3 linked regions of the Danio rerio genome follow. The protein of the gene in region 2 interacts with the protein of the main gene of each other region in a pairwise test. Links are inferred from orthologs where the notes say so. Each region holds a gene or a part of one and is shown on either strand. Other genes may lie near its edges.

Region 1 (5,563 bases), on a different chromosome or scaffold from region 2:
CCATCAAGTACCCAACTCCGAGAGAGCTTGTGAAGCTGTGGAAAACAAGACATGTCACAGTTTACATCATACTTCTACAGTCAATTTTCATTTAGTATTCAATATAGAAGATGAATAAGTTGACACACTGACAGCTCTGGGAAGCAAAACATGTAAAAACATGACATCTGTCATTCCCAGACAGGACGGGCAAGGTCAAGAAAGTCCATTCCAATGACCTTCGCATTCAAATAACCATTGTGTATAAAAATCCCCCATCACCCTCTGTTTTACACCTGCTTTGAATCTGAACAGTTTAGTAACTCGCCCTCAGGAAAGAAGAAACTTTGTCAGTGTGTCTCTCCATGTTAACGTCTATTTGAGAGATGAAACGATCCACTGAGTCAGTCCAGAGAGAGATCGGACTTGTTTCTGCCTGCTTGTGAAGTGTGGACTGATGAATAGCAGCCAGGCTATGAAATGGTCACCCCTGGGTCCGTCAGTGTAATGCATCTGAATTAGACCTTGCTGAAGGGGAACTTTTAATTTTGCATCAGAACAGTTGGCAACCAGTGCACAGCACCCCACTGTGATTTGTTTTAGCTGGGATGTTTTAATTAAAGGAATGGTCATCCAAATATGAAATATCCGCCATCGTTTAGGCTACTTGCCCTAGCATTTTAACAAACAAGTCTGCCTTTTTGTTTCTTCCACTAAACATTACAGCTACCATCAATCAATAGCAATAAAATAGATAAAAAGCATGCCTAGCTATAGTTTTCTGTTTATTTCTAACTAAGGCTGCACAATATATTGCAAAATTTATAGTATATGCAATATACACTGTTAAAAAAATAAAGGGAACACTAAAAAACACATCCTAGATCTGACTATATTCTTATTAAATACTTTGTTATTTACATAGTTGAATGTGCTGACAATAAAAATCACAAAAAGATTATCAATGGAAATCCTTTTTATTAACCCATGGAGGTCTGGATTTTGAGTCACATTTAAACTTGTAGTAGTAAAACACTCAACAGACTGATCCAACTTTGATGTAATGTCCTTAAAACAAGTCAAAATGAGTTTCAGTAGTGTCGGTGTTACCTCTATGTGCCCATATGACCTTATACAGGTATAGGAAAAAATAAAAAAAATGCAAAAATAAAGATTAAAACAACAGCCAAACAGAGTCAGAATATCTGAGGGTTTCTGCAGGTTACACTACGATAAATTTAAGAATTTTAAAGACACTTTGAAGACCATTATAAAATAAATTTAGACCTATATCCCAGTTGGAAAAAAATGTATTTACCTAATCAAAAAATAATTGAACACATTTAATAATATAGTAAAAATTATAATAATAATTTAATAATTAAAAATAAAGGTCAGGTCAGTATCCTCAGCAGTGAATACATAGAGAACTTTAAACAAATGTTACTGTAAGAACAATTATTACACCATTATGGTAAATGGAGTTAAAATTTCTAAGTAAAAAAGTTAAATATTTAATTGAGATGGATTGTTGATGATTGTATGGTGTTGGTCAGATTGGATAGCTACACATAAACAAAGGAAAATGAAGACCTGATAAATAAATTAAAGATTTAAGTAGATTTAAGACTTTTTAAGGCCTAAAATTTATTTTTGAGACATTTTAAGACTTTCTATCCATCTTGCAGCCCACACAAAACAAAAAAATCTGAAGAATGTTGGAAACTCATCCATTGACATCTATAGTAGGAACAAAAAAAAAAAGGAATTATATGGCTGCTGCATTCCAGCATTCTTCAAAATATCTTATTTAGTGACAAAAGAAGGAAACTCGAACAAGTTTAGAACAAGTGGAGTGTGAGTAAATGATTTTCATTTTTGGCTGAACAGTCCCTTTAAAGTCTATGTTTTTCCAGTGCAAACATCACAGTTGGTTTTCACACTGGACATCTATGGTGTAAATGTGGTATAGCATAGCCATTTGGGGGAAGTTGTTTTTATATTCACACATTCAGACATTCGCGTTCAATTAAATAGTAAAGCAGAATTTAAATAGGCTAATAGCGGTTAATTATTATGATGTACTGTTATGAGCACCACACATTATATTGTTACTAACTGTAACTAAAAAGCTGATGAACACACTTTTCTGTATGGAAGGTCTGTATATTGTTTAACATACTAGTTTGAATATTCGGTCTGAATTCTGAAATCGCATGTATGACTTCCAGGATCGGACTTAACCAATGAGAGGGGTAAGCAGCCGCTTAGGGGCCCAGGGAATTAAGGGGACTTGACCAATGCGAAGAAGCCTATATTGCTCATTAAGCTTTTTTATAAGTTTTTTATCATATGTGGTAAAATCTGTCTACAACCATTACAAGATTGACATTATTACTACTAAGGGCCACCATAAATAGTGGAATGTTCCTTCCGTTCCGCACATGCAAATATTAAAATCTAATCACAAATATGGCTCCTTAACTGTACATAGTTTGCGAGCTTGCTGTTTGTGACTCTACAGTGAAAAAAAAATATCTACAGTATAGAGAAAGTAAGTGATTTGAGTTTCAATGCTAGGGCCCCATACCTGTAATTGCTTAGGGCCACTGATGACTTCAAAAGTATGACAAATCAACATTAGCACTATTTAATTGACTGTGAACGATGTAGTACTTTGATAGTCACTGGCTGCTAATATGATTTTCCCTATTTGGAATTTGCAAAGAATACTTTGTAATTATGAAATTACATTTAGAAGGTGAAATGCCACTACATGCAAAACTCACTTGATATTGTATAGTCCAGATCTGAGTGAGCAGCGATCAGGAAACTGGCTGAGTTTTTTGGACAGGACCTTGAGATGTTTCTTTGTCTCCTGAATTCCTTTATCCAGTTCATAGTCTGTGGAGGCTGAGAGAGGCAAACCGTCCCTCACTCTCACCACTGAGGCAAACAGGACCATAGACATCTTACAGAAAGCTCAGTTGACACCTGGAAGAACAGGATATTTAGGGCATTCACTGCATATAATGGCCCATTTACCACCCTCTTAGTTTTCTGCTAGCTAGAATAATCTAAAAAATTACATACAAAATCTAGACATATTTTACGAATTCTATAATATCATTCAGCTCTATGTACGTGGACTCATGACATCTGGTGCACACTGTGCTAAGCTAATAATATTAGCATGTTTGCTGACTTATTGTCATCATATCACGTTTGGTGATTGTCTTATGCGCTACAGAACCCCATATCTACAATAATACAGGCTTATAATATTTTAAGGTCAAGCTATTCTTTAAAACTATTCATCGCATTGATTTACAATGATGTGCAGTAGCGTTATATGGCTGTACTGCTACCATAGCAAGATACTTAACTAGACACTAAGCGACACTTATTGCAAGCATTAACACAGTCTTTCAGTGTACATACCTACTGACATGAGCCGATTAAAAATATATTAAGACATTATAACCCTTTTGAGTTATTTTGTTGATATACTATCTTGATCGTTGAGCTCTTCCTGCGGGTCTCATAGCGGACGGTTTTTGCTTACGTACGACACAGCTTCGGCTAAACTCGTAACAACTTCGGCACAGTCCCGGTTTCTCTTCGTATATTTTCGGAAAACATTCGGCTCTGTGACGGTCTCGGTGAGGTAAAGGATTATTTGTGGGCCACTGTAATCCACCGATGTTTTTTATGGAATAACCGAGATATTACAATCAGAAACAAATCATTTTTCCATAGGTGGATTTAAAATAATATTAATTGTATCCTTTGCTTGTTTGATGATGCAAGAAATTTGTTTTTGTTATGAACAATTTATAACATATCAGTTTCCCAGCTCATCCTAAAGAATTTAATAAAGTGGTTTAAGCAATTTCACCTGGTTTATTTCACCTAGTTAAAAGTCACTGTAGAACTAACCGACTTAGTGGATATTCATTCTCCTTTTAGTCTGTTAGATAAGGAATTTAACAATAAGTTTGTGTGTCAAATTTATCTATTTAAAAGGCACATTTCTTCTAGAAGAAAGATATATGGAGGACCTTCATTGAGTTTATAGTCTGGACTAGAACCAGGCTTTTACCTGGGAAATATTGCATGTCCAACAAGGCAAAATAAATGCATTTTACAATTTTACACAATTTATCCTGTAAGTTCTAGTATTTTTAAATTTTTGGACATTGACAGCTCCTGTTCTTTCTGCAAACAAGCAGAGGAGACAGTACATATGTTTTTGATTGTCCAATTGCTTTAGTCTAAAAGATATTATTTTTTATCATAATAACCCAAAAGATAAACCCCTGGAACACATAACTTTTTAAACCTATATGGCTAATTTTTCATTCACAAACAGAAATTTGCATAAAATTACCCTTCCTTTGCTCATTAGAATAAAATTCAACTTTCTCCTAAAATCACTTCATCTTATTAAGAATAATAAATAAAAACCCTAAGATTCCTGAATATTATACAGATGTATTTTAAGATTATCCTCGATTTTAGTTGCTTTCCTCATGATTATACTCGGGGCTTGACATTAACACCCGCAAACCCCCAAACGCGGGTAGATTTCAGCTGTGGCAGGTTAGATGATCGTGCACCCACAGTCCAGCTGAAAAATAATAGTATTATTCATTCATTCATATTCTTTTCGGCTCTGACCTTTGGGAACTTTGGGGTCACCACAGCGGATTTAACCGCTAACTATTCCAGCTTATGTTTTACACAGCGGATGCCCTTCCAGTTGCAACCCATTACTGGGAAACATCCATACACACTCATTTACACACATACATTATACGGACAATTTAGCCTACCAAAATTCACCTATAGCGCATGTCTTTGGACTTGTGGGGGAAACTGGAGCACCCGGAGGAAACCCACACAAACACAGGAAGAACATGCAAACTCCACACAGAAATGCCAACTAATCCAGCTGAGGCTCGATCCAGCGACTTTCTTGCCGTGAGGTGATCGTGCTACCCACTGCGCCACCGTGATGCATTATCCAATAAAAAATATATTTGATAAAGAATATTCTAAACTATTTTTATAAGCTAACCATAATGTTCCCATAGAAAAATTATTGTTTAATAATGTCACCGAATGTATATTAAATAGTACTATGATGAAGGTGTGATGCGTGTACAGACCTGACTGATTTTTCTGATTTGCCCTTGATTTTCCAACAATTAATCTAAACATTAATCCACAAATAGGAAATAAACAGTTGTAGTTAATGTAATAATAAATAAATCATATTCTTTGTGGTTCAAAAATATATTTATTCTTATGGACTAAATCACATACAGTAACAACTGTTCATTTGGATGGCATATCTTAACAGAGAGTAGAAACATTAATGTGATTCAGTGATTTATCTTATAATTCTTCACATCCAGATACACTTTACATCATGCACATTTCAATGTGTCAGCATCTGCTTTGAGTCTTAAGTTAATATCCCAGTTTGTTTAAACACATAAACCATGAAATTAGACTTTGCATTTGTGTATAGCTCTGCCATGATCTTTGATGTGAATCTTTAAATTGATCCATCGCTCAC
Region 2 (5,530 bases):
GTGTCTGACACATTAAAAATTGCATAAAATACTGATTTATTTTTATATGCTAGCATATTAATAATAGAACAATACAACAGAGCATTTTCACGCACCTGCAGTGTTTAGCACAGAAGAGCAGAATAAACTAAATAAAATGAATAAAATAAATAGGACTGCCCTAAATTATTTTCCATTTAAATAATTAATTTATATTTCAAATCGAAAACACTGACTGATAATTTTTTAATAACCGGCATATAGGCTGTTTTTTTTTCCAATCATATTTTTGTCTTCTGTCAAATAAAAAAGCTGACTTCCTCAAATTGCTCGCTCCACGGAAAATATGCATTTATTAAATGCCCCGCTGTTAGTATTATAATAATCACAAAACCTTTTTACATTTTTAATAGAAATCATTATTTTAAAGATTATGTCTTGCTATATGGTTTCCTTTCTCTCCTTCGCGGTTCAAGTGCACGCTGCATGATAAAAAGACAACAACGCGCGCATATGTTGACTTTTTGTAAACAGTTTTGTTTTTTAAATATGATATTGCATTAATGTGCATACATGCTTTATAAGCTGTAAAATAAAGGTAAAGCCTATTTGTTGCGTTTATGACGCAGATCCAGGTCAACATAAGCGCTGGTTTGGCATCAACACATCTGTTTCAAACAGCAATATTCTTCTTCCATTTTGCTTCTTTGGCAAATGTGTCTGTAGGCACGGGTTATACGTTATCGTCCCGCAAGTTAAGTAGGCCTATTTCTTGCAGTTGAACAAGTGGCCAACCACAGCTAACATGCTTTTTTCATTCCAAAAACGCGAGGCGCACCTTACTGCCTTTATGTTGACAAGGAAAAAAGAAGAGAAGTGCAGCCCTCTTATGAAACGACTGAATCAGCTGGGTATCGATTGAGCAAAAGTGTTGCTGTCTATGTTGTTACAATTTTTATATTTGATAATATTGTGATATTGAAGATTTGTACATTCATACAGCTCTGGATAACTTAAAACAGCGATTAGACCTTCAGAGCGGTGTTAATGCATCCTGAAGTAAAGCGAAACGGCTATAAACTCCAGCATGATAGAGTGATTATATGCAGAGTCATACTTTATCTATAAATAAAGTATAACTATAGAAACAGTGTTCATCTTAACTGAAAGCTTCGGCGTGTTTGCTGTCCTCACGCATCATGCACCTGTCAGTCAGTCAGTCAGCACGTAACGCCAAAGGATTAAACAGATAGCGCACAGCACTATACGGTTACAGAGAAGTTTGCGCTGTTATAATTCACTTTCCTTTTAATACGTTTTGATGCGATTATAATCCGCTATTAAAAACAAAAACAACTATAACTGAATGTTTTGAATGGGTATGTAGCTGTGGCGGGAAGCATTATGGTCCCCGCCATGGAAGAATGAATGTAGCGGAAACCAAGCTCTTTAAAAGTTCTCTCTAGTTGTCTTGACAACACAAACTGCTGCTCTGGGATGAGCCGCGCACAAAAGATGCTCCTCTTAACGCAAAGGCGCATTCAATCGGCCCCTTATGCAGCCAAACTAAAACTATATAAAATAATAATTTTAATCGTTTAACTGATAGCATTAATCGATAACAAACGCACCCTTTCGGTTAACGGTTAATCGATTATTTTGAGCATCCCTAATTAGTTCCTATGAAAAACTATTTAAAAATTGTGAAAACACTATTTTCAACATTGATAATGATACTGTTTGTTAATAAATAATAATTAAATCTTCCTTAAAAATCAAAATAGCCTATTAGAATGACTTTTTAGGGATTGTGTGACACTGAGAACAGAACAAATAGTTGCTGAAAAATCACAAGAACAAAAAAAAACATATAAAAATGTCTTACCAATATTATTTTAAACTTTAATATTTCACAATATTCTCTTTTCAACTACATTTTTGACGAGCAATGAGAAACTTCTTTTTATTTAGCATAAAAACTTTTTATGCATAATGTATATTAAATGTTATCAAAATATTTTTCAAATAAAAGTGTGATTTAAAAAGACTTAACAAATATGTAATATGGACAGAACAATATATGAACTCACATGAGCTCATAATTTCTTCTGATTGCCTCTGGAATTTTAGGTTTGGTGACTCTCACGGCCTGCAAATGTTAACACAGAATTAAATAAATCAAAACTAAAACCTTATTAAAAAATAGCAATATAAAAAAAAATGATACCTGAATGGTGAGACCAGGGGCCATACAATTCAAGTCCTTCTGTAGTGCAGTCTTCAAGTTCTCATCAATTATGTCTGTCATAAAACAAACAACACAAATGCCAGTTCAAGACCAATGTTCATCAAGTAAAAAGGCGCCAAATATGAAACCAGTGACACAACAGAAACAGGGCTCACATAAACAACAGAAAGTTCAGTACACTTAGCAGAATAAACTGTTTGACTTATCGGTGACTTACCGAACAGCTCAATGTAGACTTCCTGTAGTGTGTGCACACTGCAGAACTGGTTTAACTCATGGTGAATTTTATTGAAGATTAGCGTCTTGTCATAATCTGCAGTGTAATTCCTCACTATATCCACCACTGTGAAGGAAGAGGACAAATGTATGATCTAATTTAGGCATTGGAAAGTGGTCAGTTGAGTTAACTGAAAAAATATTACATATTACAGTTTATGGTGAGTGGAAATGTAAGAAAATGAATAGGATGTGAATGACTGATTATAAACCATGTGTTTTTGTACAATACAGTGACATATAGATACTTTATTTACTCATCATTTCACGTTTGTAGACAATGTGCTAGTGTGGCTGTTAGATTGGATTCAACCATAAAGTATAAGTGTTATTTTGTGAAAGCAATCAATCTAATGCATTTTTTGACTACCTCTGGAAGTGGCCCTCAACTCAGTTTACACCTATATTTAGTGTCATCTGCTTCTGATTGGATTGATGAAAGCACTTCTTAATAGTATATGTAAACAGAGCATTCTACAGACAGCATCTTTGGATGAAAACAGCTACTGACTTCTAATTAGACTCATGCCTTTTTCTTATATAATAAATTACTTGCACCTATGAAGATAAACAATGACAAAAACTGAAAAGAATGGAATGAACGTGTGGCTTTTGGAGGCACGGAACCACTCTTTAGGAGTGCAGCCGCTCAAGACTGGGAGGTAATAATACCCAACAAAAAAAGGCTTTTCTTAAGATTTTTTGTGTTATTGTCAAAATATTTAAAATTTCTTAAAATCAAAAAGCATTTTTAAAACAAGCAAAACATATCATCATATTTCTAGCTTAAATGGGGTAAGCAAAATAATCATTTGTAAAAGGGAAAAACAACATTACTCACCCCGTTTGGACTAGAAACAAGACAAAGAATATAAGAAACATTGTTGAAAGAAAAGCTTTTTTTTGCAGTGTACTGAACCACTTTAAAGACAGACTTTGGCTAAGGGATTTTAAAATGACCAAAACAACATTTCAGATGGTCTGCTGGTTGGTCCATAAATGTTGTTTCATCCTGCCCATTTTTTGTTATCACATAATCTGTTGCACCTGCTGGAATTTATTGTTTTCATCATCTAGTCTTGCTGAATAAAACGTTTATCCTACTCAGATGTGCACGTATGTTTTTAGTGCATTTAAAAATTGTGTTCACATCTTTATGTTTTCATTATGCATTTTTCATGTAATATTCCAAAATGTGCATAAAAACAGGCAAATGAAAACCGAGCTAGTTATACAGGTTTGGAAAAAAAGATTGAAGGTGGAAAAAATAAAGACGGACCATCCCTTGTTGTGTAAACTCTCTTGTTAAGAGTCTTACCTGAGGTTGGAATGAGCATGTTGACCACTTCAATTCTGTCAAAATAGATCATTACACCCCCACTGTGGACGAGACAACAGAGAAATTGTTCATTCTGGAGTACTAGAAAATATCCTATACACAATTATGACATTACTTTTCCATTTTAAGCAGTTGTTTTAAGACCTGTTCAATTAAATAACAACAGAAAAGTTTACCTAGTTCCACAAGGCACATTTTTTATTTCATCTGTTTGCAGAGTTGTCTATAAAGATGAAGGGGAAAAAAGATCAGTGTCTTCAACAAACATTTCTAATAATCCTGGTATTCACACATAAAAGGATGGTTCACCCAAAACTATAAAACTCAAGCTGTCATCATTTTCCTCAGCCCTCATAAACCTGCTTGAGTTACTTTTTTCTGTTGATCACAAAAGATTATACTTTGTAAAATGTTGGAAACCTGCAGCCATTGATGTCCATAGTATTTGTTTTTCCGATGCAGGTCAATGGTTAGTGGTTACTAACATTCTTCAAAATATCTTATTTTAGGTTTAACAGAAAAAATAAAACTCAAAAAGGTTTGGAGCCTCTTGAGTGTGAGTAAACAGTGAGTACATTCTCATTTTAAGGTGAATTACCCCTTTAAATTCCAAACCCCAGATAAACACAATCTTAAGTTATCTTGTGGCACAATTTACACTTCTCATAATTTACTTAGGATTAACAACTCATACTGCGTATTATTCATACACTAATGTTTCACACTGTAAATTCCTAAATCCTGGGATAAGATCAATGATTTGCATATTTGCAGTGTCATTGACTGCATAAATGAGGCACATGTCCGTTTTACATCCACACATCCTTTTACATTTGCATCCTAATTATATGTTGACAACAACTATCAGTTTTTTCCTTAATTAACTTTTCAGAAAATAAATGGAATACTGGTTTCTCCTTGACTCCAGTTGTGATTTTCCATCACAGCTTCACATCTTTCCTTGAAAATGCAAGACTATACAACACACATTGCTTTTGTGACTTTCCAAAGCATGTGAATAGGAGTCACATGATAGGATGTCGGTTACTGTGCATTTAGCTGTAGTATTTGAACACTATATTATTTTATAAATTAATTTTGGCACCACAATGAGGTGGTTGACAGTGTAAATGCAGAACTAACTTGGCTTAGAAGTACTGCTATACTAAATAAAAAGTGTGAAATGGTCTTTTGCCATATAAGGTGTAAGCACAGTGTGAAAAGCCCTTATAAATATCTTTGGCTCAGTTAAAATGAGTTTCTTTAAATAAAAGCATCTGCTAATTGCAAAATATTAGATAACCTTATAAATAAATTAATATAAAATTAGCATCAATTTACAGCTTTAAACAAAGCCATAATTCCTTCATAATTAGACCAAATGATAAATAAATGACAGTCGTACCTGCACTGATCTATAAGAAGTGATGAAAGGCAGCATTATATGGTAACCTGGGCCATTTGGAGAGGTCAACAAAGCTCCTCCTCTGTCAAAAAAAAAACATTATAAATATGGCAGCAATGTTATCTTCATGTGCATAGTGTTGTAAAAATTGTTAGAATAAAGATGATAATTCACCCCAAAATTAAAATTGGGTCATCATTTACTCATCCCCATGTCATTTCAAACCTGCAAAACTTTATTTTTTTCCTGAACAAAAATTAAGTTATTTTGAAGACTGCTAATA
Region 3 (5,630 bases), on a different chromosome or scaffold from region 2:
TAACTGCAAAAAATATATATATAATAAAATAAAATTACCAGTAAACTTACTGTACATTTTATATATACAGTGCTTAGTATTTATAAGTACACACCTCACAAATCTAGCCTTTTAAATTCTTAGCTATACAATATTGTGTATATACATATAGATTAGTCAGTGCTGGAACTTATCTAACAAAATAATTTACGATAAAGGTCAAAAACAAGTACACTTAAATTTATGTCAGAAAAATATTAAATACAATTTTAAGAAAAGGAAAAATCAAGAGAAGCAAAAAACTTTGTTAATTTAGTTGAATTTTGTAGGTTTTAATTTTTTTATTTGCAATATTTTGCTTTAATTTAATTGTATTATCTTTTAATCTCTAAATATGTTTGGTCACTAAAATATTATTTGATTAAAAATATCCAACGCAATCTCACAGCATTTTTTAACTTTTTGATTTATTGGCTAATTTCTAATCTAATTCATACAATTTAGTACGATTTGCTCATCAATCGATGACAGTTAGAGGTGGGGGTGCCACCTTTTTTAAAATCTTACATTTTTGTACGAATTAGCCTTTAAACTGACAAAACGTAAAATACTTAAGTTTCCTTGTGAAATTAGGCTGAATTATCTGTTTAAGAAATCTGTTTTGTTTAAATGCACCAAAATATATTGCCTATATATTCACTGAGAAATGGATAAAAACATTCATTTTCAAAATAGGGTGTACTCGATTATGCTGAGCACTGTATAAAAAACTGCATTTCATTTTTTTCCTTTTAAATGTACTCCTAATCAATCAATACATAATTAGAAGGATAGTTCACCCAAAAATTTTACTTTTCTGAATCGTTCATTCATTCTTCACTTTTTCAAAACCTATTTGAGTTTATATCTTTTGTTGAACGCAGAGGATATTAAGAAAAATGCTGGTTGCTGCACTCATTGACTTTCATAGACCTTTCTTTTCTTACTATGGAAGTCGATGGGTTCCAGCAACCAGCATTCATCAAACTTTTTCTTTTTTGGTGTGTTTAAAAGAAGAAAGAAGCTCATAAAGGTTTAAAACCACGAGAGAGAGAGAGAGGTTAAATAATTTACATTTTTGGGTGATCTAAACCTTTAAGAGCAATTTTAAATCATGATTTATTTATTCATAAAAAAATGTACTAGTGATTTTTACTGAGTATATCGCGGTAGTTATGCACAGTATTGTTTAAAAAAAGCAGTTAAGTAAATTAAATTACCAGTACACTTTTTGTATATTATATTTTTACATATAAAATTGCAGTTCATTTTTTGTCCTGCATGTTAAAATGTACTCTTAATCAATCAATTCTTAATTAAAGGGATAGTTCACCCAAAAATAAAACTTTTCTTAATCGTTTACTCATTCTTCACTTGTTCAAAACCTATTTGAGTTTCTATCTTTTGATGAACACAGAGAATATTTTGGAAAATGCTGGTTGCTGCACTCATTGACTTTCATATTCTTTTCTTTTCCTACTATGGGAGTTGATGGATTCCAGCAACCAGCATTCCTCAATTTTTCTTTTTTTTTTTTTTTCTTTTTTTAAGAAAAAAGCTCATAAATGCCTTAAATCACATGAAAAATGGTTAAAATGATAAAATTTGTGGGTGATCTAAACCTTTAAGATCAATTTTAGAACATGGTTCATTTAACAGAAAATGTAGTAGTTATTTTTTACTGTGTATATTGCTGTAGTTAATATGCACAGAAATAATAACAATAATAATAATAATGATGAAATACTACGATTTAAATTTTTGTTAAATTATTTTCAGACAACACTAGCTTATTTTTCTATTTACTGGGGGAAATATATAACACTGCATGTGACTTATGCCAGAAATAAAACATAAAACAAAGTACAAGCATATTTCCCTGACATGGCTAAATAAATAATAAAGTTTATCATGATTTAATGATTGGCATTTTTGCCTTTATTTAGTCATTTAGAACCAAAATAATAACTAATTCACACTAAATATATTTTTTCAAACGGAGGATTAAAATTAGTAAATACATGTGATTCATATGATTATTTTTATATGATCATCTGATTATTTTTTTATATATTTTAATAAAGATGAAAAAATTAAGTCAATATTTAATTTATTGATTCAGTGAGTTAGTGACTTGAGTACTGCTCAAACAGGCCCGAATCATGAACAAACAAGTACCACAAATTCAGATATTTCACCTAAAAATATAAATGTACTCACTATTTACTCATCCTCAAGTGCTTCTAATATAAGTTTCTTTCTTCAGCTGAAAACAAAAGATATCCTGAAGAAAGCTGAAAAACCGGTAACCATTGACTTCCATAGTAGGAAAACAAATACTATGGAAGTCAGTGGTTACAGGTTCCCAACGTTTTTTCAAAATATGTTCCTTTGTGTTTAACAGAAGAAACGAACTGATAACGGTTTGAAATAAGTAAATGGTGATTAATTGATGACAATTTACATATTTGGGTCTCTTTAAAAGAATAAAGTTTCTAACATAAATCTGACAGCACTTTAAAAAAGTACCAAAAAATGTATTCCCTTCAGAAGAAATCACCTTTCTTGCTCTGTTTATGTGGAGCAATGCATTTCCTGAACGAATCATTGCCGTCTTAAGATGTGACCTCTCGTAAAGTTAAACTTCCTCAAAACAACGATGCTTGTGATAATTCGAGCGACTTTATCTTGTTACTTCAGGACTCACCTCCTCCGTGTCTTCATCCGTGCTGTCTCTGTCGAGTTCCCCGATGTAGTACTGCTCCATCCACCTCCGGGCGTTCTCCGAGTGCCGGTGCGGGGGTCCCTCGATCTCCAGGCTGATGTCCTTCCCCGAGCGGCGGAGGATGAGCGCCTCTCCGCCGGGGTGCATCCGCAGGAACGCCGTCACATCGTAGACGCGCGTCCCTAACAACACCCAGCACGAATCCTTGGTGCAATGTTTGGCTACCTCCTTTTCGGAAAAGAAACGAGGGGACAACGAGGGCGACATTTTGGTACTCATTTAGGGGTGTCCACAAGAGGAGAGAGAACAGCAGGCACGCAGGTGGACCCCAGCGCTCGTGGACTACAACTACTGACTTTCAACTTTAGCTTTGAGCAGAGTTCATACCCAGCCTGCTCATGAATAATTCATGACGCATTTACGTCCTGTTCAAGCACCTGTTGCGCGCGCGCCGCGGTACTGTGTACTGACAAAACGATGCTCCTTTTGTGTTTGTGTCGTTTTGTCATAGTTTAGGTTTCACGTTTTGTGTTTATGTTTTGTATTAATTTTAAATGATGTGAAAAGTTGAGTTCTCACGTAACGTTAGCTATCGATACTTGCTGGGTGCACTTCCTCTTTGTGGGCGTTGTTGGTGACATAAGCCGGTCGTTGTGTTTGCACACTGGGTGCGACTCAGATATTGTCAATAGCGTTTTATGGTTCTGTGAGACGTGACTTGATAAGTCAAAGATTTCCTATGTTTTAATTTAACTCGAGTTATTGCTCAGAAAGACGTTTTTTATAACTTTTAATGCTAGTTTTTCACTCTGATGACTATTATGGTTTTAGTAGGATACAAATGTGTTTTTGTATTGTTTTTTCTTCGCTGACCAGTTATCTATAGTTTTTGTAGTAAAGCTTGGGTTTAAAATGATAATGCCAACGAAAATGCTGGTTATTACAATAGTATAACATGTTACTTAACATACTTAAAGGTCTAACAGGAAAAAAGAGGTAACACCAGCATTCTAGTTCACTAGAAATTGTTGCAGGTCAGATTGACATTTTCTGTAATTTAGATTATATTCACATAATGTGATGTGTATAATAAGATTCAATAGATCTTATATGATTGCCTGTATATATGAGTAGGGTAGAGCCCGTCTCATTTTTCTAAATTAGTTTCCTATTCAAATAAATGGTTTTCTTGTTATAAGCTATGAACTGGTTCTTTTGTATTTATTTATGATTTGACTGCTGAAAAAAGCAGCAGGATGAATTCTGAAGTGTTTCAGGCAATATTTTTTGCTCATATTAACCAAATGCTTTAGAACTCATTGGATGGTGCTTCACAGTGCAGATGGAGAATGACCCAGAAAAAGCATTTGAATGCTGGAAAAGCAATCAAATAGGTTTTGAAGGCAAAGAAGTTGAATGTTATGCAATGGCCTTGTCAATCACCTGACTGAATCCGATTAAGCATGCATTTTACTTTTTGAAGGCAAAGCTGAAGGGAAAATGCCCCAAGAACAAGCAGGAACTGAAGACAGTTGCTGTAGAGTCCTGGCAGAGCACCACCAGGAATGAAACCCAACGTCTGATGTCAAAGGATTTGCAACCAAGTATTAAAAAGTGAAAGCTTAATTTATGATTATTATTCTGCTTAATTACCTTTGGACCCTTAACAAGTGGGAGGCACACATGCAAACTGTTGTAATTCCTACAGCGTTCACCTGATTTGGATGTAAATACCCTCACATTAAAGCTGAGAGTCTGCAGTATAAGTACATCTTGTTCGTTTCATTTCAAGTCCATTGTGTTGGTGTATAGAGTCAAAAATTGTAGAATTGTGTTGATGTCCAAATAATTATGGAATTTATATATATATATATATGAACTTTATTGCAAAATTTGCAAATTCAGGAATATTTAAGCGAAACCGACTCTATCGTTGTACAATGCTTGTTGGGAGTGGGTGGCTTGAAGTCCCTTATTGGTAGATTTGTCTAACAGCATCATGGGTAATATAGTTTTTCTGCATGAATTCCGTCATCTGTCATGATTGTTTTTTTTTTTTTTTAATGAACAGATTAAAATGTTCATTAGTTACTGTCAAATATGAGGTACCACTATTTAAATCAAACACACTTGAACATAAAAACAGCAAGAACAGAGCATTAACATCGATTAATAAGCATACATATAAAGCAGTGACTGAATACTTATTATTATTATTGTTAACTGAACAATACTTGTTGTAGATATCATTTACACTCAGAAATTGCTAATAAATTTTAAAAGCGTATTACATTAAATGTGAAATTTTAAAGTAGAAAACTAAAATAATACTGTAAAATGTTTTTTAAAGTTATATTTTAAAACAGGCGGTGATGTTGCCTCACAGCAAGAAGGTCTCTGGTTCGAGCCTTGGCTGGGTCACTTGGCATATCTGTGGGGAGTTTGCATGTTCTCCTCGTGTTCATGTGGGTTTCCTCCGGGTGCTTTAGTTTTCTGCACAAGACATGTGCTGTATAGGTGAATTGGGCGAGCTAAATTGTCCTTAGTGTATGTGTGTGAATGTGAGAGTGTATGTTTCCCATGGATTGCTGCTGGAAGGGCATCCGCTGCGTAAAACATAAGCTGGATAAGTTGGCGGTTCATTCCGCTGTGGCGAACCCAGATTAAAAAAGGGACTAAGCAGAAAAGAAAATGAATGAATGAAACGTTTAAACTCAGAAATTGCTAGGAATTTCACAAGCAATAATGCATCACATTAAATGTGAAATTTTGAAGCAGAAAAGCTGAAATAATACTGTGAAATATTTGAAAAATCATATATTAAAGCATATAGTCAGGTTATTTATTTAATGGTAATTGTATTTATTTATTAACTTTTAATTAAGCA

The links.
Region 1: the proteins of erlin1 (region 2) and sec22a interact in binary tests that used the Homo sapiens proteins (3 or more experiments, as listed by UniProt). The two-hybrid records come from large-scale screens. The link is inferred for Danio rerio from reciprocal best matches to the Homo sapiens genes ERLIN1 and SEC22A.
Region 3: the proteins of erlin1 (region 2) and fa2h interact in binary tests that used the Homo sapiens proteins (3 or more experiments, as listed by UniProt). The two-hybrid records come from large-scale screens. The link is inferred for Danio rerio from reciprocal best matches to the Homo sapiens genes ERLIN1 and FA2H.

The regions. Positions count from the first base shown.
Region 1 is NC_133184.1:39,560,254-39,565,816, reverse strand, and holds the start of sec22a (vesicle-trafficking protein SEC22a), read right to left. Parts: upstream 3,575-5,563; 5' UTR 3,425-3,574; exon of another isoform or gene 3,421-3,424; intron 2,974-3,420; 5' UTR 2,951-2,973; coding exon 2,769-2,950; intron 36-2,768; coding exon 1-35. UniProt on the Homo sapiens protein: May be involved in vesicle transport between the ER and the Golgi complex.
Region 2 is NC_133188.1:27,925,754-27,931,283, forward strand, and holds part of erlin1 (erlin-1), read right to left. Parts: intron 5,330-5,530; coding exon 5,248-5,329; intron 4,066-5,247; coding exon 4,019-4,065; intron 3,884-4,018; coding exon 3,822-3,883; intron 2,571-3,821; coding exon 2,445-2,570; intron 2,281-2,444; coding exon 2,207-2,280; intron 2,129-2,206; coding exon 2,070-2,128; intron 1-2,069. UniProt on the Homo sapiens protein: Component of the ERLIN1/ERLIN2 complex which mediates the endoplasmic reticulum-associated degradation (ERAD) of inositol 1,4,5-trisphosphate receptors (IP3Rs).
Region 3 is NC_133200.1:14,542,940-14,548,569, forward strand, and holds the start of fa2h (fatty acid 2-hydroxylase), read right to left. Parts: upstream 3,088-5,630; 5' UTR 3,023-3,087; coding exon 2,726-3,022; intron 1-2,725. UniProt on the Homo sapiens protein: Catalyzes the hydroxylation of free fatty acids at the C-2 position to produce 2-hydroxy fatty acids, which are building blocks of sphingolipids and glycosphingolipids common in neural tissue and epidermis.